2 linked regions of the Lytechinus pictus genome follow. The protein of the gene in region 2 binds, or shares a complex with, the protein of the main gene of each other region. Links are inferred from orthologs where the notes say so. Each region holds a gene or a part of one and is shown on either strand. Other genes may lie near its edges. The genes, in order: COP9 signalosome complex subunit 8-like and COP9 signalosome complex subunit 7b-like.

What was found.
Region 1: COP9 signalosome complex subunit 7b-like (region 2) and COP9 signalosome complex subunit 8-like share a complex: the UniProt entries of both Drosophila melanogaster proteins name them as parts of the CSN complex. The link is inferred for Lytechinus pictus from reciprocal best matches to the Drosophila melanogaster genes CSN7 and CSN8.

The regions. Positions count from the first base shown.
Region 1 is NC_087245.1:15,642,695-15,655,380, forward strand, and holds the start of COP9 signalosome complex subunit 8-like, read left to right. Parts: upstream 1-7,448; 5' UTR 7,449-7,827; coding exon 7,828-7,884; intron 7,885-12,686. Other genes in the region: MPN domain-containing protein-like, read right to left, coding at 1-154, 7,370-7,373. UniProt on the Drosophila melanogaster protein: Probable component of the COP9 signalosome complex (CSN), a complex involved in various cellular and developmental processes.
Region 2 is NC_087258.1:2,859,426-2,871,435, reverse strand, and holds the start of COP9 signalosome complex subunit 7b-like, read right to left. Parts: upstream 6,152-12,010; 5' UTR 5,933-6,151; coding exon 5,867-5,932; intron 1-5,866. Other genes in the region: uncharacterized protein LOC129276772, read right to left, coding at 10,434-10,647. UniProt on the Drosophila melanogaster protein: Component of the COP9 signalosome complex (CSN), a complex involved in various cellular and developmental processes.

The sequences.
Region 1 (12,686 bases), on a different chromosome or scaffold from region 2:
TCAACTACCCCATCACTCATGAGCATACTCAGTGTGACCCCTCTCCCTGTCAGTATTTTCTCTTTCTTGGGTGGACTTGTAGTAGAAGAGTCTAGACTCTCAGCTTCAGACATGGTCTCTGCGGCCTCATCATCCTTCAGCACATCCCTGCGGTCTTTGAACAAAGAAATATCAGGATTTAATGATCATACTTAGTCCCTTCGGGTGAACACTCAATATTGGAGACTCTCCTATTAGAGGACGCTGGTGCATGTATCATTACTATCACAAATTTCTGCAAAGTGTGGTAGATTTGATTGGTATTTAAAAAGCTAGATTTGTCTGTTTACCAATTTCTTCTATCTTTCATGTAACATGGAAGACTTACCTGAATACCCCATGCATTTTTTTTTCTAAAACTTAGTACATGATTCAAACTGAGCTGAAACCTCTTCAGATAATATTTTACGGTGACTTATTCAAATAAACATTAGTTATATCTACACTCAAATGCAACCTGAACAAAAATTATATATTGAGGTATTCACTATCTAGTCACTGCTCGTCATTGTACTAGGCAGGACTAAAGTACATGTATGCCAATGCTCTGGAGCGGACTACATAAACTAGCACATCAATGATGTGGAGCTCATCCGGCATCTCGCAACGAAATTTAACACAATTTTAATTTCAGCCCAGTTACACTGTAGTGAATTACATTGGTGACATAAATTGAGAATATAGAATTGAAATTGATGAAGAAATGACATAGAAGCATTTTTTGTGATCTATGAATAAATTTCATATATATTAAGCATAAATAATTTTCTAGTCAAAATTTCTAAACTCTGTGTAGAACCTTGTTGAACCTCATGTAGCTCTCAGATGAAACAAAAATAATCAAAATCAATCTACAAATTAAATAAGTATTTTTTGTGAGTTTTGAAAATATATGAATAAATTTGCATATTTAATGAGTAAGTTTCAAAATTCTGTGTTGAAATTTTGTATCTCCACCTTGAGCTATCATATAAAGCAACAAAATTGAAATTGATCAATAAATGAAGAAGAAAACACGTTTTTTGTGATTTATGAATAAACTTTGCATAAATTAGCATAAATAATTTTCTAGACAAAATTTCAAACTTTTGTGTACAAGTTTGGTGAACCTCATGCAGCTCTACCAGATGAAAGAAAACAAATTAAGAAGAGGCATTTTCTGTGATTTATTAATAAATTTTGCATAAATTAGCATAAATAATTTTCTACTGAAAATTTCAAAATTCTGTGTAAAAGTTTGTTGAACCTCATGAAGTTCTACCAGATGGAAGAAAAAAGAATCAAAATCGGTCAACAATTAAAGAAGAAGCATTTTATGTGAATTTTTAAAGACGCATAAATTAGCATATTTAATGAGTTTCAAAATTCTGTGTAGAATTTTTGAATCCCCCACCTAATGCTATCATATAAAGCAAACAGAATTGAAATCAGACTTGAAATGACCATTACGAAAATACCCCATTTGAGGCGTCACCGCAGTTCGGATCGCAAACTGCGGTTTTAGACCCCATTTTTCATTTGAAACTCTCATTTTTCATTTGAACATTTCCAAGCCCCGATAAACCCATCTTGGCCAGGTAATCCCCGTTGTCTCAATTTCACCTCCACAGGCCAGTAAAGCCAAGGACGAAATGATAAACAACAGCTGTGCTATTACGTAAGACTTCTCTGCCTGTAGAAGGACCTTCGGAATGAAATTATTGTATTCGATATTTAATCACGTTTCCAAAGGCATATTGTATTCAGACATCCAATATTAGTCCTTTTTCAATTTCGAACGAAGAAAATCGACCTCGAAATAAGGAAAATAAGCGAATAAAAATTACGGTATGCTTTGCATGCAGGGACCGCCCTCAGCGCTGCGATGCATCCCATAGTTTCTGTCCGTCCAGCAAGAAAATATGGGATGCATGCCGTTCACTCGCGCATTGATACAGTCCTAACGTTGGAAAAAAAAAACAGCCAGACAGAAAGAAAGAAGGAAAGAAAGAAAGAAAGAAAGAAGGAAAGAAGGAAAGAAGGAAAGAAGGAAGGAAAGAAGGAAAGAAGGAAAGAAGGAAGGAAAGAAGGAAAGAAGGAAGGAAAGAAAGAAAGAAAGAAAGAAAGAAAGAAAGAAAGAAAGAAAGAAAGAAAGAAAGAAAGAAAGAAAGAAAGAAAGAAAGAAAGAAAGAAAGAAAGAAAGAAAGAAAGAAAGAAAGAAGGAAAGAAGGAAGGAAGGAAGGAAGGAAGGAAGGAAGGAAGGAAGGAAGGAAGGAAGGAAGGAAGGAAGAAAGAAAAGAAGAAAGAAGAAAAAAGTTGCACTTGTTATCTTCGGACCGAGGTCAAGAAACAGGTGTTTTGATACTTAAATGGCTTGCTTGGAACAGTCCGGGCTTATAGTACTTGGAGAAGAGAATTGGTGAAAAAGAAACTGGGGTATAGTATTCTCAAATGGAGGTTTTTGTCATGACGAAGAAGAAGCATTTTGAAATTCAGTCAACAAATAAAGAAGAGGCATTTTCTGTGATTTATGAATTTTGCATAAATTAGCATAAATAATTTTCTACTCCAAATTTAAAAATTCTGTGAAGAAGTTTGGTGAACCTCATGAAGCTCTACCAGATGGAAGGAAAAAAAATCAAAATCGGTCAACAAATAGAGAAGAAGCATTTTATGTGAATTTTTAAAAACATGCATAAATTAATTTTGCATAAATTAGCATAAAAATTGTTCTAGTCAAAATTTCTAAATTCTGTGTAGAAGTTTGGTGAACCTGATAAAGCTCTACCAGATGGAAGCAAAAAATTCAAAATCGGTCAATAAATAAAGAAGCATTTTTTGTGAATTTTGAAAAATGCGCATAACTTAGAATATTTAATGAGTTTCAAAATTCTGTGTAGAAGTTTTGAATCCCCCACCTAGTGCTATTCATATAAAGCAAACAGAATTGAAATGGCGAAGAAGCATCATTTTGAAAATGTGGACGGACGACAGACAGAAGCCAGACGATGGACGCCACGGCATAAGCTCATCTGGCCCTTCGGGCCGGATGAGCTTAAAACAGGGGTCTCTGGAACTCATTAGATCGTAGGCGGACGTAATTGGGTAGCAGCTACATGTATGTAAAAAAACGTGCGGGCGTCTTGCTAGATTCGTATTGAGCCAGCACAAGCAAGCTGCGGCCGGTGCGGGGAGCTTCAGCGGGCCGGCATAATGGCTCCGCGCCGATAGAGCTCGCCACTCTGACTGGCTGAGTAAATCATGACAGGCGCTCTCTGGAGCGAGAAATCACGAATTTGAGGGTCTCCGGAATTCGGAACGGGAAAAATGGGAATTTCTATCTACATGTATGGCCTGGCTTTCTGAATTGGCAGTAGAGGCGCACGGCCAACATGGGAGACTCTCTCCAATATGGGAGACAACCTCCTATATTGAAGACTTGCTTTGCAAAAAATAAAAGAAACAAGACCAACAAAAGCATAATTTTTTCCACCCAAAATATGTTCTCACTAGGCAGTGCTGCACCAGCCCGAGTTTGTTCAATCTCAAGATTTTAGCCCGATCGGCCCTCTTCGCGATTAATCTCGAGATTCAAGAAATCCACCGTCGCAAGAAGAGCGATTCCTGCTCGAGTGAGGCATCATGGTCTGACGCCGTGCATAAATAATCCTGAGTGCGTCTGCACCTGCGAATTAGCAGGATAATTTGTGAATAGTGCGCTATTTTGCAAACATTAAGTTGCATTTTGCAAATAATAAGTTGACTTGGGATTGCAATCTCAGGATAGCAAACTAGCGTGATAATTGCGTCTCCATTACAAATAATCTTGAGAATTCATCGAGATTGTTCAGATCGGGATAGTTTGCCGGATCAGAAATAGCGCGCCATTTTGAAAACTCGGGCTGCATGGTGCAGACGGCCCTACTGATGTCAGAAGACAGAAGCCCATTTGTTTTAAGTGTGGATGACAACAAAATCGTTCAAAAGTAGACAGTGAATTTTTATAGACGGTGAAAAGGGGTTATATTTTTCATGAGGAATCTGCCCGGGGGGCCACTTCCATTGACGAGTGAATACCATGCGCGACCATGGGGTCTTGAAAAGCACCCTAAACACATATTTTCCATATTCTAACAAGTGGAACGCCTCTGGCAGTCTCGCCTGCATTACGCAATTTAATATAGCAGCAGTGCTAACTTTGAAAACTACTATAAAATAATCATTCACAAAAACATCATTCATATAATGACATAATACCACGTTCATTGACCATAAATGACATTTGAACGGAGACTTAAGACTGTCAACTACACCCATGTCCACATTTCATTCACTCTAATATCCATAAACTTTCAAAGTTATGATGGCACTTCAACAATTACCCCAACATGGCCTAAGTTTATTGACCTTAACTGACCTTTGACTTGGTTTTGTGACCTGAAACTCACAGGGGATGTTCAGTGATACTTGATTACTCTTATGTCCAAGTTTTATGAACTAGATTCATAAACTTTCAGAGCTAGAATGGTAATTTAACATACCCCCAACACGGCCAAAGTTCATTGACCTCAAATGACCATTGACCATGGTCATGTGACCTGAAACTCGCACAGGATATTCAGTGGTACTTGATTTACCTAATGTCCAAGTTTCATGAACTAAATCCATAAATTTTTAAAGTTACATGTATGATGGTAATTCAACAAATACCCCCAACTTGGCCAAAGTTCATTGACCCTAAATGACCTTTGACCTTGGTCATGTGACCTGAAACTCAGGCAGGATGTTCACTAATACTTGATTAACCTTGTGTCCAAGTTTCATGGACTAGATCCATAAATTTTCAAAGTTATGAAAGTAATTCAACAAATACCCCCAACTTGACCAAAGTTCATTGACCCTAAATGACCTTTGACCTTGGTCATGTGACCTGAAACTCGAGCAGGATGTTCACTAATACTTGATTAACCTTATGCCCAAGTTTCATGAACAAGGTCCATATACTTTCTAAGTTATGATGTCATTTCAAAAACTTAACCTTCGGTTAAGATTTGATGTTGACGCCGCCGCCGCCATCGGAAAAGCGGCGCCTATAGTCTCGCTCTGCTATGCAGGCGAGACAAAAATGCACCCCTTAACGAGTATTGACGTATGAAACTACCTTTAACAAGTATTGGAAACAAATTTAACAAAACGATACTCTTGTCAAGTATTCCCTGAATTGAACCCCGGACAAGTACAGCGATATTTCAATTGTTATGTCACGGACGACGTCGGTCGTCGGTTTTCTCTTTACCTACATAATTGGGTGTACAGCCCCTCCTCCCCACACGTAAACTCTAAACACGTAATGTTGACTCTTGGGGCAAAAAGTACATCCTTTATAAAACATTTGTGTCTTAATTTTTTTATACCCTCGCAAATTTGACCCTAAACACGCAGCTTTACTAGCGAAAATAGATACCTTTTTTCATCATTTTAGTGTTTTTGACACCCTTATTACGTTACGTACGTAACGTGCCCCATCTTGAAAAAGACATCCTTTTTACGTGTTTTTTTGGTCGCGCATGGTATCCACTTGTCAATTGTAAGTGGCCCCCCCGGCGGAATCTGCTTATCACATTTTAATTTGCCGTAATCCTTTAGCAGCAAATGTAAACAAAGGATATTGGTCTCCCAAACTGGAGACTGTCTCTGACATTGGATAGGGGCATACCCAAATTCTTTACATAAGTCTCTGATATTGGAGATAATCTCCCAATGACAATGTCATGACTCATCATGGGAGACTCCCAATTAGCCGTGCGCCTCTAATGAATAAGGTTTATTTTATCGCTAATCAGAACCGCAATGCGTTATGGGGTGGAAAAGGGGCAAGCAAGCTGTCTGCAGAGCTAGCTAACTTGCCCCCTTTTCTATCCCATAAATAATGCACTGCGGTTCTGATTAACGATAGCTATACTAGACTTGATCTCTAAAGACTAAACCTTGCTTAAGTTGTTATGGTGTATTGGTGATGCTATGGAACTGAAATTTAGGCTAAAAATTGGGGTCTCAACCGCGGCACTGACACACATATCTAGACAGCTGGCAGCCGTCTGTTTCGAGGAGTTTTTTAACATTTTTTTTCTCCTCATACACAGACGGCTCGCTATCGTGCAGCCACCATTAGGGGGTAAACAATGAAAAATCCCCCCGATGGGGCTCATAGGTTTTTTGTCTTTATTTCATAAAAATATATAAAAAGAACTGGACCAAAATAAATATTGCTATTCCGTTTTGGCCTGAAATGCACCAAAACGGGGAAAAATAAACTTATTATACAGTAGAGGCGCACGGCCAATATTGGAGACTGTCTCCAATGTGGGAGATTATCTCCAATATCAGAGACTTTTGTAAAGAATTTGGGTATCCAATTTCAGAGACGGTCTCCAGTTTTGGAGTCGAATTTCCTTTGTTTACATTTGCTGCAAAAGGATTACCTTGGCGGCAAATAAAAATGTGATAAGCAGATTCCTCATGAAAAATTACCCCTTTTCACCGTCTACTTTAAATATTCACCGTCTACTTTTGTTTTGATAAGGATTTTTGTTGTCAATCACACACAAAACAAATGGGCTTCTGACCTCAGTGAGACAAAATTTTGGGTGGAAAAAATCATGCTTTTGTTGGTGTTGTTTCTTTTGTCCTTTTGCAAAGCAAGTCTCCAATGTGGGAGATTGTCTCCCCTATTGGAGAGAGTCTCCCATATTGGCCGTGCGCCTCTACTGTTATAAGGGGAAAAAACCACTCCCACGTATTGCGAGGTTAGCATTAGTATACTAACCTCGCACCACGAACCGCGTTTGGCAGTGGATTTCTAACTAGTGGGTCGCGCCTGCTGGGATCTCACTTCTTGGGTCCACAACACACGACTTCAATGGCTTGATTTTTCTGTGCGCGGCGGCATGTAATGAACCCTTGGGTGGGAAAAAACAGTGTTGTTCAGCGGAACAACCAACATAAGAACAGAGACCGAAGCTTTTGGTCTAATATATCATACATTTATACTGAGCTTACACCCCCCCCCCCCGGCAGAACACAAAATGGCCAAGTATGAACATTCATACCAATTACACGGGCATGTACTGAACGTACACCAGGCGATTCAGCTCCTGTGCAATTCATATACTCTCTCACACAGAAACGTGAAATTAACGTTCGATATATGTGTGTGAGAATCGCACGCAATATTTGTGGAACGTAACTTTACCTAACTAAGTTTCAAGTACAAAAAATCATTATCATTGATTGACATTGTCAGAAAATTGTAATTGCATTAAAGTCATGATCGTTAAATAATTCAAGTTACCCATGAATTAATTCCGAATAAGGATATGTATCACCAAATCAAATCAATGAGAGTCAACTCAAGTGGCCGTTTTAATTCTGTGGAGACAGGAATGGATGATGAGCCGCATGCTATCTCTTCTCTTTGTTTTTCTTTCATGTGAACTGGCTCATTCCATTTTTTTCAATCGCTTAGGGTTGGGGGTTCAGTTTTAATTGAAGAATATAAAAGTGAATATAAAGAATGTTTAAAACACATGAAATCGATAAAAACAATATATAATATTACGATATATTTTCGATTAAGTCATATGATATCATTTGTTGACTACCTTTTTAATCATGTTAATATATTATTTAGAGGGGAGTGTAGAGTTTCCAAGGAGGTCCCGTCCCTGAGCCGAGTCTAGTTACCCTCTGTGCTAAATCAACGTACCGGGTATCTGATTTAATCTGATATCCCTAGTCCATCTACCAAAAATGGCTTCTTTTGATGCGATTTCGCTAGTTGAACAGTGCGAGCAGCAAGAATTAGAGGTAGGTTTCCACTATTTAATTTCCAGATAAGACTGTAGAGTAGAATAATGAAATAAAAAAACCTTTCTGGGTTGCTAGGTTCTTTAGTTTAAGTTTTATTTAACCTTGTTGACTTGTGTGAATGGTACCGGCATAGTCGTGAGTGTGGTCCCACATTATTGAAAATTGTGTAAGCCCTCGCCTGGATTTAGATGCAAGTAACTTTTTTAGGGCTATAGGCAGCCTATTAGGCACAATAAAAGAAAAAAAAGAACAGTATTAATTGTTGGGCAGTATTCTGAACATTGTCTTTTCTCCATATTTTGTCTTTTCTCAGAGATCTATGACAAAATTGGTATGTTGATGAACTTTTGTCATTTTCATAAAAAATAATTTTGACTTTTGTCTCGTCTCAAATCGATCTAAGTTATTCTCTCTCCTCCCTTCTGGCTTCTCTTTTATTGTGTGAACCCGAAAAATGTGGCTCTTAAGGACGTTCCACAGTTAAAGTGAAATCCATGTCATTTTCACCAAACTTTACACATAGATACTTTAGAACCTTAATATTCGAAATATGCAAAAATTAACATAGGTCCATGTGCTTGATTTTTTGCTATAGAACTTCAAAGTTCACCCAAATTGATGTTCTTAAGAATTGCGCATTCAAAAGAATTTGGCATTTTTAGACCGCCCAAGATTACTACAATGAGTTTAAACCTGTATTACTCAGTCAAAATACATGAAAAAGTCATCAAATTTCGCAAGAGAGTTAATAATTGTATCGTTAGAATGGAGAATATATTTATAGTGCTATTTGTTTGCAATTTTAAGTTTAACAGCACTGTCAGTTCTTAAAAATGGCGTAAAAGATAACAAAATCCCAATCTAAAAAATGTGAAATTTCAGTAACAAACTACAAAAGTACAATAAATGCTGCACCTTATTCAAAATCCATGTCATTTTCACCAAAATTTGTAGAGTTGTAGAGGAAGGTATACCTAAGAGGAACAGCATTAAAAAATAGGGGTTCATATGCTTGTTTTTAAACTATCAGTATTTTTATTAGAGCAATTGTGCTTTTTAAAACACCAAAAATGCGCCGAATGCTTTGTATCTATGTGAAGAAAAAATCAAAACCACTCTACCATTTATTCAAACTCGGGGTAATATTCGTGATTCTTGGCAGCACTGCAGAGTAAAGTATTTTGAAATTGTAGAAAATCTTTTTTTGAATGGTCCATGGAATAATTCCATTTTTTAGCTTCATGAAATAACGCATCGGATCTGCAGTTAAAGTGCAGAAGATGAGAAAAATCAGCACATACCCGCAGCTAATTAATCACCTGTTCATCCATTGTGACGTCAGCGCGTAGAGTGTAAACTATGCGCAGATCATAATGCGCACAAACATAACTGTGGAACGTCCTTAATGCGCATAATGATAATCCTAATATGCAAGCAAAAGATATGACAAAATTTATGACAGGGTCTTACCGGTCTAGGCTAGCACTATAGCAGTCATACTCATAAATTAAAAAAAATATATATATTGCCTATATAAATTCTACGTGCCTTGAGGCTTGAACGAAACCAGCTGATAAAGCCTTTGTTCGTTTGTCAACAAACTGTAGATCTACACCAAGGTCTATACAATGAAAAGACTGCCCATGGATGCACTGTGCATAGAAAATCACAGGCACAATGCATGCAACGCTTCTATGACTGAGATTGCGTGACATTCTTATGCCTATTCTCTATAAATCACTTTGTTAGTAGGTTCAAACTAGGCTACTGCATAAAACTTACCAAATGATATGAAGTCAATTTCCTGCTTTTTTTAATCTTTCTCTTGATTTCTCCAAATTATTTTTCTTGATGCTCGGGCAAGAGTTTCATATGCACCCCCCACTATAATTGAAAATAAAAACATGGAGAAGGTTCATATTCGTAATGCTTTGCATCAATTTGCATGTAAAATTGTTTCAGTGCTTAGTTTTTCCCTTGTAGTGTCTTTGATATGAATATAAATTGCATGCAATCTTTAGGCAAGAAATTGGTATTCCTTGAGTGGAATCCAACTCTCATAAACATTAAGAAAGATAATCTGTAGAATTTCAAGAAAGAATAAGTAATGTGGCTTCAAATCATTCAATAAGTTCTATAGCAGTACTGGTATTTGAAGTTAAAGTCATTTAGCAAACGATTAATGTGAATAATTGCCAGCCCATCCCATGATGAAATTAAATGTGTTGTGCCTGTGATTTCCATGTGCACAGTGCATGTAATGTTTCCATGGGTGCCTCTAGTCTACTGCCTCTCAGGAGTCTGGGTAGGGGGGTGGAGTCGGGGAAACGGCTATCAATTTGAAACTTGAAGAAGTACTCTCCCAACAAGCATACACGCTGTCCTGGAAAGGGACAGAGGTCCCTTTAATTAATGGCAGTTTTAAAATTCTAATGAAGAACGCGGTCACATAAATTTAGTCCCCTAAAACTCAGGATTACAAAAAAAAAATTGCTTCCCAACTGGGCGTTGTGCGAGTGCGGGTATGGAAGCAGGAGACCGTCAAAAACACGGATATACGTCGTGTCGTAATTCAATTTACTACACGACGTAAATAATTACGTCGTGTAGCAATTCGAATTACTACACGACGTAAATAATTACGTAGTGTAGTAATTCGACTTACTACACGACGCAATTCCGTATTACTGCCCAACGAATTAATGTCATGACGTTAAATGAATTAGTGTCGCTACATCAAATAATTAAGGTCGTGTAGTTATTCGAATTACTACACGACGTAAATAATTACGTAGTGTAGTAATTCCAATTACTACACTACCTAAAGAATTACGTCGTGTAGTAAATAATTACTACACGACGTAATTCCGAATTACTGTTTAACGATTTAATGTCATGACGTTAAATGAATTAGTGTAGTGACGTTAAATCAACCAATGAGATCGTTCGTTATATGAGCGCAATGCGATGAGCTGAGACTACAGAGTATTGTACCGGAAGCGCGTTTCCGTTTTACACCCTGGCGAAGGCATTTTCCGGAAAAATAGCCACAAAGCGACTAGTGAAGAGTCTACGTGTACGTTTGTTTACATAATCAGCTGGGCGCGCGATCCAAAAGTCAGCACTGAAGATATCCCTAGAACATACGTGCTAATGCAGCTGAGCTTATAGACCAAAAGCTTCAGTCTCTGTATTTTGGTTGTTCCGCTGAACTATATACGTTGGCTTCATGATTTTTTTTTTTACTTTATCGCACATGATCGTTTATATGAATGAAAACGAATAATAGCTAAAATATTGAAAAATAAAACACATAAGTACTTTTTTTCATATTATATCTATCCTTATATCTATCCACTACTATCTATGTTATAAATCAATCTATGGAACTACATGATATATCTATCTGTTAATTTGTCTATCTACTCTGTCTCTCTCATTCTCTATCTATCTGTCTATCAATCTATCCATCTAACATCTATCTCTCAAATTATCTATCTATCCATCTGTCTCTCTTTTATTTCTCTCTATCCATCTATTAATCTACTCATGTGCAATATCAACACTGCTTCGACTTCCTTCGGGAGTCTATTTCCTCAGCTCTACTTTTCCCTTTTTTGTGCTCGATTCGATTCAACTACTACTTTATTTACTTGTTACCATTGTTAAATGTCTTGTATTGCATAATGAGTTTTTTTTCTGAAGGTTGCCTCCTATTCTCTTTCAAATTCCACCTCTTGTTTTCCCTTCTCTTTGTCTTATCCCAATTTCTTTCCCTTCTCTCACCTCTTTCTTCTTAATCTTTCATTCCGCTTTTTTCTTCTTTGGTGACACTTTGTAGTACTTTTAGCCTTTTGTATTTATTTATGATACATTTCTTTTTCATCTGTATGAATTTGTATTGTATTTGATATTTATTTATAATGTTTACTTTATATTTTGTTATGATTCTATTTGTATGTAAACATTCACTTATTTCAGTCTTTGACTGCTTGTGATTGTATTTTGATAGTTTTTATTGCAATAAAATCCAATATATAAATATATATATATATATATATATATCTCTCTCTCAAATTCTCTTTATCTATCCATCTGTCTGTCTTTTTCTCTCTCTCTCTGTTTCTCTCTATCCGTCTATCTATCTCTCGAATTCTCTCTATTCATCTGTCTGTCTGTCTCTCAAATTCTCTCTCTCTCTCCATCCATCTGTCTGTCTTTTTCTCTCTATCCGTCTATATATCTATCTCTCAAATTATATCTATATCTATCTCTATCTATCTATGTAACTGCAGTATCTATCTATCTGTTAATCTTCTCTGTCTCTCTCATTCTTTATCTATCTATCCATCTAACATCTACCTCTCTCTCAAATTCTCTCTCTCCCTCTCTCTCTCTCTCCCCCTCTCCATCTCTGAGTTCTCTCCCCCCATCTATCTATCTATACATCTCTCTGTCTTTCTCTCTCTCTCTCTACTTCTATCTATCTATCTATGTATGTCTCTATCTATTTATCAGTCTTCTATATCTATCTTTCGGCATCTAAGTGTATCAATCCATCAAACTTCAATTTTCTTTCTATTATATGTATCTGTTTATTTTTATTTTGTCTGTCATTCTATTCATTTAGTTAATAATTTATATTTAGAAAAAAAACTTTTTCATAACTTTTCATAAAAAATCGTAGCTGCAAAGGCATGTTCGGATTTCACTCATATGACTGCTCTCTGTACATGAAGTGCCGAGGAACTCTATGCTCTGATCAGTAAACTGTGCAGATTGCATGCGGTGGTGTGGGA
Region 2 (12,010 bases):
ACATTCTGGACAATAGTTATAATTGAATTTGGCTATTAATGAGATTTAAAACATGATCTACTTCACAAATCTGATCCATTACACAGTTTTGCAGTAACAATAGCTGAAAAATCAAAACACTCATGGTTTTAATTTGCTTTGATCGGCCAAAAGATAGCACCCCGCGGGGGGTCACTTTTTCACATGGCCTGTTACGCACCCGCGTCCAGAAAAAACGTTGAAAAGGGTCCCATTTCAGGCACTCGGGCAGCGTCAACGTTACGGACGCGAGCATCGCGTAACGTTGGGGAACTACAATAAGAAACAAGATGGCGGCGTAAACATCGGGCAAGTCTCTTCCGTCTTTTCACAATATTTTTTCATTTTTTTGATGAATTCTTGTTTAAAAATAACAACGAGAGCATAGAAATGTCGGAAATGAAGTTTTATCCCATGTACATGATTTAGAGCTAGATCTTTTAGAAGGAAAGTAGAAATCTCGGGGGTGAAAGTTTCAGGTTTTGGGGTCCTTCGTGTAGGTGAATAGGAAGGACTCCCTGGCTTCATTGAGTAAGCCTACGTTAGTAAATGATTTTTACTCTCAAGAAGCCGCCTGGCTAGGCTACACAAGACCAGAAGATGACCCGGCTTTGGCCTTTGCACTATTGCAGCTGCACACTCGGCTCACGGTTCGTACCAGGGGCCGCGGAAGCGGGGGGGGCTGGGGGGGCTTCAGCCCCGCCACTTTTTTCCAAAACCGTGTACAAAAACGTAAAAATGACCATATGATTGTGATTTTTAGCATGGTCAGCCCCCCCACTTTTACTTGAGTTTGAAAACCGTTCCGCGGCCCCACTCCTAGTACCAATGAGGTCCAACATTACATGTATGGACCTCATAGGCGACATCAGTAGTATTTTTGGTTAGAAATCTCTGAGAACAGGATATTTATACATTATATCACAAGTACAAGCTATATTCCTTTCTCTTATTTAAATTATAATTTTATAGTGTAAATGCATCGTTAGCAACAACAAAAAATGAAAGAAATGAAGGGGAACTTACATTTTCACGGCTTTTTCCTGATTTTCTGGGCAGCTGCTCTTCTCTTCTGACTCGCGATCGAAGCTGATATGAAGATCACGTGATTTGCGTTCTCGTCAGCTGATCGGTTGGTTATTCTTTTCGTCAGACGTTAATAATATATATTTTATAATGCTAGCATTCATCGCTAATTTAGGTGAAAGAGATTGAAGTTAAACAGCGCCAGGTCGGAATCATAATTATTTTGGAAGAGTGTATTTATACACTCGATCTCATACCTGACGTAGACGGCGCTATTCAACAAATGCACAATCTTCAATATAAAAAATAAAACAGAAAGAACGCCTTGAACACAGGCCAAAATGCCTAACGATTTCTCCGCGGCATTAACAACTATCGTAAAGGGCGCTCCATTTATCAATAAAGATGGATGCTAAGCTGTCTATGGTGACAAAATTTGCCGCAAATATTTACGAAGAATTGTGAGAAATGGTCTGAAAATGCAACAAAAGAACCGGTGAGTACCGATTAAACATTATTAAAGTTGTAAATAGATTATACATACCTTGTAGATTTAGTTTTTAAGGTGATATTAGTGCTTAGTTCTAAGCTAGGGAGGCCCAAACGCGCGTGAGTGGAGTCCCAGTTTATTAGCACGGGTAAGTATTGGGGTGTCGCCTAGAGTGCCGCGGCCCCACTCCTAGTACCAATGAGGTCCAAACATTACATGTATGGACCTCATAGGCGACATCTGTAGTATTTTGTGTCAGAAATCTTTGTGAAGATGATTATTTGTGTATTATAACACAAGTACGAGCTATCGTACTGTCTATTCATTAAATTTTTGTTTAAGAAAGTTAAAGCATTGTTAGCAATAAAAAAAAATTGAAAGAAATGAAGGGGAACTTACATTTTGACGACTTTTTCCAGATTTTATTGCCAGTTACTCTTCACTTCTGACTCGCGATCGAAGCTGATATGCAGATCACGTGATACGCGTTCTCGTCAGCTGATCGGTTGGTTATTCTTTTCGCCAGACGTTGATAATTATATATTTCATAATACTAGCATTCATCGCAAATTTAGGTGAAAGAGATTGAATTTAAACAGCGCAAGCTTTAATTTTCTCAAAAATAACATTTAATTGATTGCACAAGTTTCGCCTTGGAACAAGTAGGATCATTTGGTCCCATGTTTGTGTAACTACGGGGGGGGGGGTGGGGGTGGGGTGTCCCTACCACTATACACCCACTAGCCAGCAATTATCGTTTTTTTCTCTTTTTTTTTTACCAAAATACCTCCCCAAAAAAAAAAAAAAAAAAAAAAAAAAAAAAAAAATAGGGTTAAAGAGAAAGAGAATTGAGGAACACAATATGCTTTATTTTTTCCTCTTTTACTGTTTAACGAGACTTGTAATCAAATATTAAATGGGGCTTAATTAGAACAGCCTTTTTTAAGTCAATTAATAAAAAATATTCCTCCTCGGGATTTGAGCTTTCATGAAATATGAATCTTTTTCATGACTACCGAAAGCGCTAAAAATGTCCAAATTTTTAATTGGTATATAAAGCTTTAGCTCATGCGTTGCGCCCGTCTTATTTTAATGTTATACAATTTTATGCTTTTAATGAATTTCTAATTCTCAGATCTTGTCGCAATCCGATTGGTAACTATAATGAATGATTATTATGTTTCATGAATTGTTCAAAATGTGTCTCTCTATCAGTTTTGAATATTAAAAAAAATGTCAGCTCATGCTTTTTGCTCACAATATTTTGATTAGTAAGAATTTCTTCTCTTGTATATGCGAGTTTGAGTAAATAACTAGAGAGAGAGGGGGGGGGGGTCCCTCACCTACTTGTCCTCGCTTATTCCCAATTTTTTTATATATCATACTCGTGTTCAGAGTGTTTCAAAGTCTTTTCTGATTTTTTAAACACTTTTTATTGTCTCGGAGCTTCCCTCTATTTCTTTTAACTATGATGTAGCCCTTTTTACTTGTTTCAATTCTTTTATGTCTCATTTCATTGAAAACATAATTATTAAACAGACTGACTTTATTACAAAATTTTGATATTATTTTGTCTTGTTTGTTTGGCTTTCTTTTTTTCTTCTTATCCTTCTTCTTACTTTTTCCATTTCCTTATTTTCTCTTTTATTTCATTTCATGAGGCATCCGCCAACTTATATACAACAACAACAAACATATTTATTTGGTGGTGTGCCCCTCTAAAAAGGGAGGAAAATAGGAAGGAAAAAAAGAAGAAGGGAAGGGGAAAAAAAAAGAAAAAAAAAGAAAGATGATGATGATGAAAATTATCTTGGTGATGATGATGGTGGTGGTGATGGTGGCGGTGATGATGATGATGATGATGATGATGATGATGATGATAATGATGGTGGTAGTGGTGATTATGATGAGAATGAAGTTGGTGATGATGGTGATGATGAAGACTAGATGTAATTTTGTTATTTTGTCTTTGAAAAAATTAAGTAGTGCATAGGTGAATTTATTTAAAGTTAATTATGAAAATAGCAGAAAAAATAATTTGAAAAATTGGTATGCGTTCAGGAAAAATCCATCCCCCACCAAAAAATAATTAAAGGTGAGATTTTTTAAATAATTATTTGTGACGGCGTAGGCCTTTGCGAGCAGCTATATCGGATATAATTATGGTAAAAAGTAAATGAAATGTCAAGAAATACGTGATAATGACTTTTATTGTACATTCAGTATGTCAATAGATAACTTCATACTCTCTCCAAAAAGAAAAAAGTGGGTCATTACGGTCCATTAAAAATGGGAAATTTTTGCATTTTGTATTACATAGAATATTGAGCAACTGTTCGTTTATGACGTCACAAATCAAGCATTCGAAATTCTACTAACTCCATTTTTTTTTAATAACACCTTCACCTATGTTTTGAAATTATTTTTCTTTGGCCTATATTTTCACAATCTTTTTATCAAGGTGAAATTCCCCTTTACAAAACAGTATCCGCATGATCAGTGTGTAGCGGTAAATTATTCACCTGATAACTATAGACCTATCTATAATTCATGCGGCTATGTTTAATAATATATTGCTGTGAATAGAATGAATGTCATTAAAAACATAATCTCACTGATCACTAATGCCAGCTCGACGCGCGAACTGAAAAAATATATTTTCTGCCCCGATAATTTGATAACCCTAACCTAACCCAATTTCTAAGTATTTTTATCATAAACAGGATAACTATAGACAATTAATTGAAAACTTGATATTCTTTTGCGAAAATGGATATGAAGGACAACTTTTTAATAAAGAACACAGTTTTAGAGCGTGATTTATATATACAACCGCTTAATCCTGTCACTGTCGGTATGACATGAAGCAGTTGGAACTTTCTGATTCCATCAGCTTAATAATTTTTGCAACAGGCGCCAGTCCAACAAACAGACAGACATTTGCCCAAACAGACAACATCTCAACCTCTGCTCATTTCTTTTTGCACGGACACATAAAATCTCGACCTACCCATCACTTTTCTCACTATTTTCTCCTCCCTTTTATTTTCCATTAATTTTTCTTTCGTTCACTTTTTTTTCTGTCCTCTTTTTCCTTCTATTTTTTTTTCTCGTCTCACCGCTTTTCCTCATCCCCCAGCCCCCGACGCCCACGCAGATTCGCAAACAATATCAAGTGTACTGTTAGGCAAGGGCGGAAATCTCTCCCTAAAGGTAGCCGGGACCAGGGGCTGGAAAATTTGACAAGAAAAAAACAAACAAACAAAAACAAAAAAGAAGGTTTATCACCCCAAAAAGAAGGTCATCTTGACCAAAAGAAATTTGATAAGCAAACAAGCAAAAAAAAAGGGCACCCCAAAAGTAAGATCGTCTCTTCCAAAATACATATTTTATTTCGATTTTGAATGAAAAGACCCAAAATAGTAGGGGGATGACATTTCATAATGTGTCCCCCTACTATTCTAGGTGAGGGGGACATGTCCCCCTGGAATTTGCGCCCCTGTGGGTGGGGGGTGTTGCGCCTCCCTTTCGGAATCATTATGGAAGAGTGTAAATACTCGCTGTGATTTCGATCTCATACCTATAAAAAAAAATAGAACAGCTACGCCTTGAACACAGGCCAAAATGCCTAACGATTTCTCCGCGGCATTAACAACTATCGTAAAGGGCGCTCCATTTATCAATAAAGATGGATGTTAAGCTGTCTATGGCGACAAAATTTGCCGCAGATATTTACGAAGAATTGTGAGAAATGGTCTGAAAATGCAACAAAAGAACCGGTGAGTACCGATTAAACATTATCAATTTATTTAATAGAACATATTTCATGACTACAATGTAACAATTTCTAGATAATATTGCTTAGTTCTAAGCTAGGGCGGCCCAAATGCGCGTGAGTGGAGTCCCAGTTTATTAGCACGGGTAAGTATTGGGGTGTCGCCTAGAGTGCCGCGGCCCCAGCGTACGGTCCGAATTAAGAGGCGATTTCGCTCAGACAAAGATTTGAGATATACCCCACGTCCCAATCAGCTGTGCGGAGAAGAGCAGGACGTCGGTCGGACTTGCTTCGTAATTGGTGGGCCTAGTAAGTAATGGCCCCCCAAAAAAAATTCTTTAAAAAAACTGGCCGAATTTACCACAAAAATATACGCGTATGGGACTGTACTAAACGATAGGTTTATGTCGTTCGTGTTTTACAAGCAAAACATGACTCTAGAGTATGAGAATTACATTTAAAATAATAAATCGATCTTTATTCACCTTAAAGAATTAAGAATGTTTTTTTTTATTTATTTACTTTGGAAACTAAAACGCAAACAATGACCAACTTACAGTGACAGAATCCGCTACACTAGGCACAGCTGCACTTCTTATCTTAATGGATGCACGCATGCGCATCTGAACCGTGCATATATTTTGCTTGGTGATCTATCACTAGTATCATCGGATGGCCAGATTTGGCTACATCTCGTATACCACTTGAAAGTTCGTCCAACTTCACATAAGTACGGTACTAGTAGTCAGTAATTAAACCAAAACATGTGGCCTCCTCTAGCTCCGCGCTTCTCATCATCCTAGCCTAATATTTTTTCCCCTCAATTTGTCCACACTCTTCCTGATCCCGCCCCTAATTCCTGCCCCCCCCCTTCTCTTCTTCCTCCTTCCCAGGCCTATGGGGCTCCTTGCCTGATCCTCCTCCATTATCTACGGCCTCCACCCCCCCCCCCTTGTTACCCCCTCTCCTCCATCGTTTCCTCCTTTAATTACCTCTCTCGCTTCCTATGCCCTCCACCCTCTCGATAGCTTTACTTTCTGAGCTTCCTACATCAGCTAGTCTACTACTAGAAATCCAACCCAAATAAAAACTTGCTGTAAGAGGAAAAAGAAAAAACAGACAAGTTGATATAGGTGAAGCAAATGGATCCTGTTACTCTATAAGATCACATACCCATTCAAGTCATTGAAATCTTTCTCAAAGTAGGATATACCCCAGCCCTTGATCGATTAAAACAATAGTATTTTCCTCTGTTTTTGCTTGTCCTCCTTTTCTTCCTTTTCTTTATTCATATCCTCTTTTTCTTCTATTTCTCCTTTCCTCAATTTCATTCTCCTTTCTTCACCTCTCTTCATTTCTTCCATTTCATTCCACTCCTCATCATGCACTCTCCATTTCATTCTCTTCTACTTCTCCACTTTCATATCTTTTCATTCCTTTCCTCCTCTCCATTCTCGACTTCTCACATTTCTTTACTTCTTCCCTTTTCTCGATCCTTTCTACTAATCTTCTTCTAAGCTTCTCCTACTATTTCCTTTCCTCCCACATCCTTTTTCTTCCATTTCTCTTTTTCCACCCCTCCCCTCTTTCCTCAGTCACCCCCCCCCCCCTTCTCTACGATAATTAAAAGTCAGTCTAGTAACAAGTTCAAACACAAATTGCACATTCGATATTTAATATATTTCATAATTTACAATGATTATAAATGATGGCACATTTCACGGCACATTTTCAGCGCAAATAAGACAGAATGCTAATTTGGTCTACAAAACACCAATATAATATATCCATATAAAGACAATTGAATACACAATGACATTTTAAAATGCCTTATTCAAAGTACTGTAATTAGAGGGGGCATTTTCAAAAAAAAAATTCTGAATTTAATAATTCTCGGAGGGAATTACAGAATAGAATTCATATGGAAAATAAAGTCTTCATGTAGTTCAACCTCCTATGAATCACAAAATCATAGGGTTATCGTGACAGGTCGGTAATCGCATAACTCGACCATTCGAGAAAGGGACCGCCTAAATTCCCACCACATGGGGTCCAGTTTACCCGCCCATTTGAGAAAAGGCCCCCCCCCCTAAATTCCTGACAGGTCGGGACCAATTTACCCGATGTTTTGTGAAAATTATAGCCAAATTCTCAAATGGTCAGGTAAACTGGACCCAACGTTTTTGGAATTAAGGTCAGGATTCGCTCGACCCAACGCGATAACCCATTGTGATGTCACAAGCTGAAAATGATCAAGTCAAAGCAATTTTTCTGGCCACATTTATACACACAGCATGTGTGTTATTCACTTCTTCAAAGTGAAATGTTGCCCTTATTCAAACAGGTTAATTTGGTCACAAGAGATAAGATTTGGGAAGACGTACTTGTAATTCCAAAGGAACACAAAGGGGAAAAATACGACAGATAATGAAACTTATTACTTTTATTATTTCAAATGTAGGGAGATCTGAAAATGATGACCTATTAAAGAAAGAAACAATGGTATTTATATATTTCCATATCCATATTTTTCTCATTCGATATATAAATCTGATATAGAAACGCTCTAAAAATTCGTTTTGGCCAATTGATCATGGGCCCAGCAGCCACTGCGCAGCGCTAGATGAACATAGCCGAAAGAGTAAATGCCCCTCAAATCAAAATTGTGTAGTCTGTCAAACAATGTATTTTGAATGAAGATTCTTGGTCAGTGTTCATACACTTATAGACTAAGTTCTGTGTAAATGTCTGGAAAAATGTCAAACTTCAGCTGAAATTCGGAAATACAAACACATCCAGGGGGGCAGGGGCCTAATTCATATAGTTACAACTTTTACCATTATTTTTTCAATGAAGGAATGGTAACATGGCTCAGAAGCCAATCACATTCAAGGTTTCCATGGTAGTTACAATGACAATGTTACAGTCAGTCCGCAAGCCCTGAAAAAGTAGCTTCTTTTATCCAAGTGATATTCATGACAAGAGGGTTTTTGCATAGTTAATGAGCTTGGTGCGAACCAAAACACCTCTTTTTATTCGGCCATTGCTGCTCTAAATATTGACAAAATTTCATGTTTTTGGTATCTTTGTAAAGAAGAAGAATCTTTCTTTTAGGTCATGTGTTTGGATTTTTAAAAGAATGTTGTAATATAGGGGAAACTTTTGATCTAAAACATGAAATAATGGTTTTCATGCAACAAAAGTTGTTGTTTTCACACTTAATTTCTGTTTAGGCACAAATGATTTTTAAATCATGATAAAGCTGAAGATCTAAGCTTTAATATGATATAATTTTTATAAGAAGATGTATGTTAGATGGGTCAGCAGCCAGCTTTTCATAGGCCAAGTACATTTTGCAGCTCAAAAACAAGAATACTGCGCTCTGATTGGTCATAGACCACACACCCACGCAAATTCCAATGTTCCCCACACTGGGCCTCTGCAAGGTCACACTCACCATGTGGTAATCTCTTCAAATTACTCGCGCCTGTTTGTTTTGAAAACAATATTCAGCCAATCAGAACTCTGGATTTTATGTTACTCAGAAATTTCAGAAATCTCGTCTTGCATCTTGATGGAAATAACTGGCTGCTGACCCATCTAAAAGATGCCACATATCACGAGTGACATTGTAAGAAAGTACAGAGTTTGAGCTTTCTGATGATATAAATAATGTTGGTGCCTAAAACACAAAATGTTGCACAATTTGCAAGTGAAAACAGATGAAGAAAATTCTGTTTGATGCATCTTTTCAGGTGAAAAATTCACTTATTTATCAAAATATTTCATTCAAAAGAAATGACCAATATAAAAGGGTAACATTTACTCTTGCCCATGGTACAAAAATAATCAATATTACTCAAGGAGAAAGTGGTTAAATTCTTTGAGAAAGAAAGTCTCACAATTCACGAGATTTTGCAGGGACATGAATTCAGCCACGAGAGGACTTGGATAAATCTTGCTCATTTGCTCATTAACACAGGGGCTTGCGGACTGACTGTTACCAGAGATGTAAGTAATATGAATTTGGCCCCAGATCACTGGAAATAAGAAATGATAAATATATTTAATGATGATGGTTTCTTGTATAGCGCCGGTATCCACCTCAGCTGGGCGCTCATGGCGCTTGCTCAAAAATAGGAAATATCTCACAAATTTAGCTAAAGAATATTGAACATCAAAAGATGCACCTCAATATTGATAGACATCAAAGCTTTACACTCCTTTCTTGCTCTCAAGCCAATAATATAATTTCATAATTGATAAACTTTGCAGCTATTTACATCCATATTTACATAAAGTCTATAAAGAAATACTTGCACAATACATTCCAATTTTTCATCTTACTTCTCAAAACAGCAATCAGGATAAGATTACATTTATATTGGACATAATACTGGTATTGCTATGTGTATCAAACAGATTAATCATCTGTGACCTATCTACACATTGGCTGGAAGTTTACTTAGTAAATGTAATATTAATGCATCATTCTAAAGCAGCTCGCTCATGTTAATACACCTATATGTTCCTATTTCATTTAAACTGCATCTAGCTCGTTATTAAACTAAAAATGACACCGAGGTTGTCAATACCACTCCCTATCATGAATGCATTATATGAGATCTCTTTATATATGAAAATAGCATATGGCCATCCATAATTCTGAAGTACACACATTTATGACCAATGTCAACAAAACAGTGTGTTATCAACCCCCTCTCCCCCCCCCCCACACACACACACACGAGGGTAGGAAATAATTCCGGGGGGGGGGGGGGGGGGCTACGTTTATATTCACATTGGGGCGAATACTGGATTCCGGGGGTGCCATTTCATTCATTTTAAGGGCTGTATATTTTGCACAAGTTATTATGCCGTGAATGCAACTATCATAATTCTGCTGTATTGTTAGAACAATACTGTCTGTGGCAGATCTTGGGGCGACTCAAGAAAAGACGGTTGAACCCAAATGAAAGCATTCCATTTGGGAGTTTTGGGGATTAAATAGGCTGGGATGAGGGTGAAATCGCCTGTCATCCTTCCTACGCTACCCCACCCCAATAATGCCATTTCCAATATGAGTATTTGAGACAAGGAAGAGATGACCAAACCACAATGATTTTATATTAATGAACACCATGAGAGCCATGAGGAAGAATCTTGATGTTCCGAATCAATGCTCCCTCTTCTCCTCGATCTCCTGTTCGATCCTCTGTTTGAACCTCGACTGAACACGTCATCTCCGCTCAGCTCGGACTCACTCGACTCGTCATCAGAATCGTCCGCCGGTATCGTGAGGGCAGGGTCAAAGGTCGCAGAGATGGCACCTGCTGAACTGTAAGATAAACACAGTAGGAAAGAAATTTAATGAAATTTGATAGCAATTATTCAATGAATTAGGTTTTTGTAAGCATTCAAAATGATAACCATTGAGAATCTAAATATACACAGTATGTCAGCTACATGAACATATAATATCACAGGCTTTTTAGTATGTACAGCGTAAATTATTGGTGGACTGGCAGTACTATTTTTCCAGTACAACCGAGGATTAATAATTCCCTCTATTCTTTCGAAATAAAGGCCTGGTATATTTATTTTATATCCTACATTTAATAAGTTAGAACAGATCTTGATAATCTTGTTCTTGTACACGTAGTTTCATCTTTTTTAAATTCTGAACCAAAATATGGATAACGCGCTGCGCTGACTGACCTACTTTTCATGAAGCTACGCACTCAGCGGAACACGCATTTGTGCCTGTGCCCGAGAGATTGCGCGATCTGTGACGTAAATCAAGGAAGAGTGCACTTTTCCCAAATTGAAAATGAAACGCCCACTGAAGAGAATTTACGAAATAGTAAATTCTCTTCAGTGGGCATTTCATATTCAACATCATCGCAAAATAGTGAGAATATGTTTGGTCACATGATGCTATTTACACCAATCAGCATACAGGAATTAATTTATGTAGGATATAATGTGTGTTATACCGAGTTTCATTGAGCCTTGGTGCCCTGCGGGAACCAGGTGCATGTCTCACATTAAAAAGTATATTTTACTATTGAGGCCTTTCTTATTGGCATCGGATGCCCCCTCAAGTGAGCTCTGCCTTTCCTTTTAGGTGCCTTTTTTTTCAAAAATAACCTAGCCCCTTTGAATTCTTCATTCGAGTCCTTAAAGAGGAATGAAACCTTTGGAACAATTAGGCTTGTGTCGAAACAGAAAAATCATAGAATAAGAACAAAGAAAGTTTGAGAAAAATCGGACAAATAATGAGAAAGTTATGAGCATTTGAATATTGCAATCATTAATGCTATGGAGATCCTCCCATTGGCAATGCGACAAGGATGTGTGATGTCACATGTAAACAACTTTCCCTTTGATGGACTATAAAATACCCCCAAAATGTGTCTTTTTGCTTTTTCTTATGGTGATACAAACTATTTATCCATGATGTATTCTTTAAAAATCTGTATCACATGCCCTCCTATAGAAAGAACACATGATCTACTGATAGATGTGATAAAAGAGGCAGTTTAAGTGAAATATAAACTTAAGTAATGGGGAGAGTTTTTCACAAGTGACATCACACATCTTTGTCGCATTGCCAATATGAGGATCTCCATAGCATTAGTGATCACAATATTCAAATGCTCATAACTTTTTCATTATTTGTCCGATTTTTCAAAAACTTT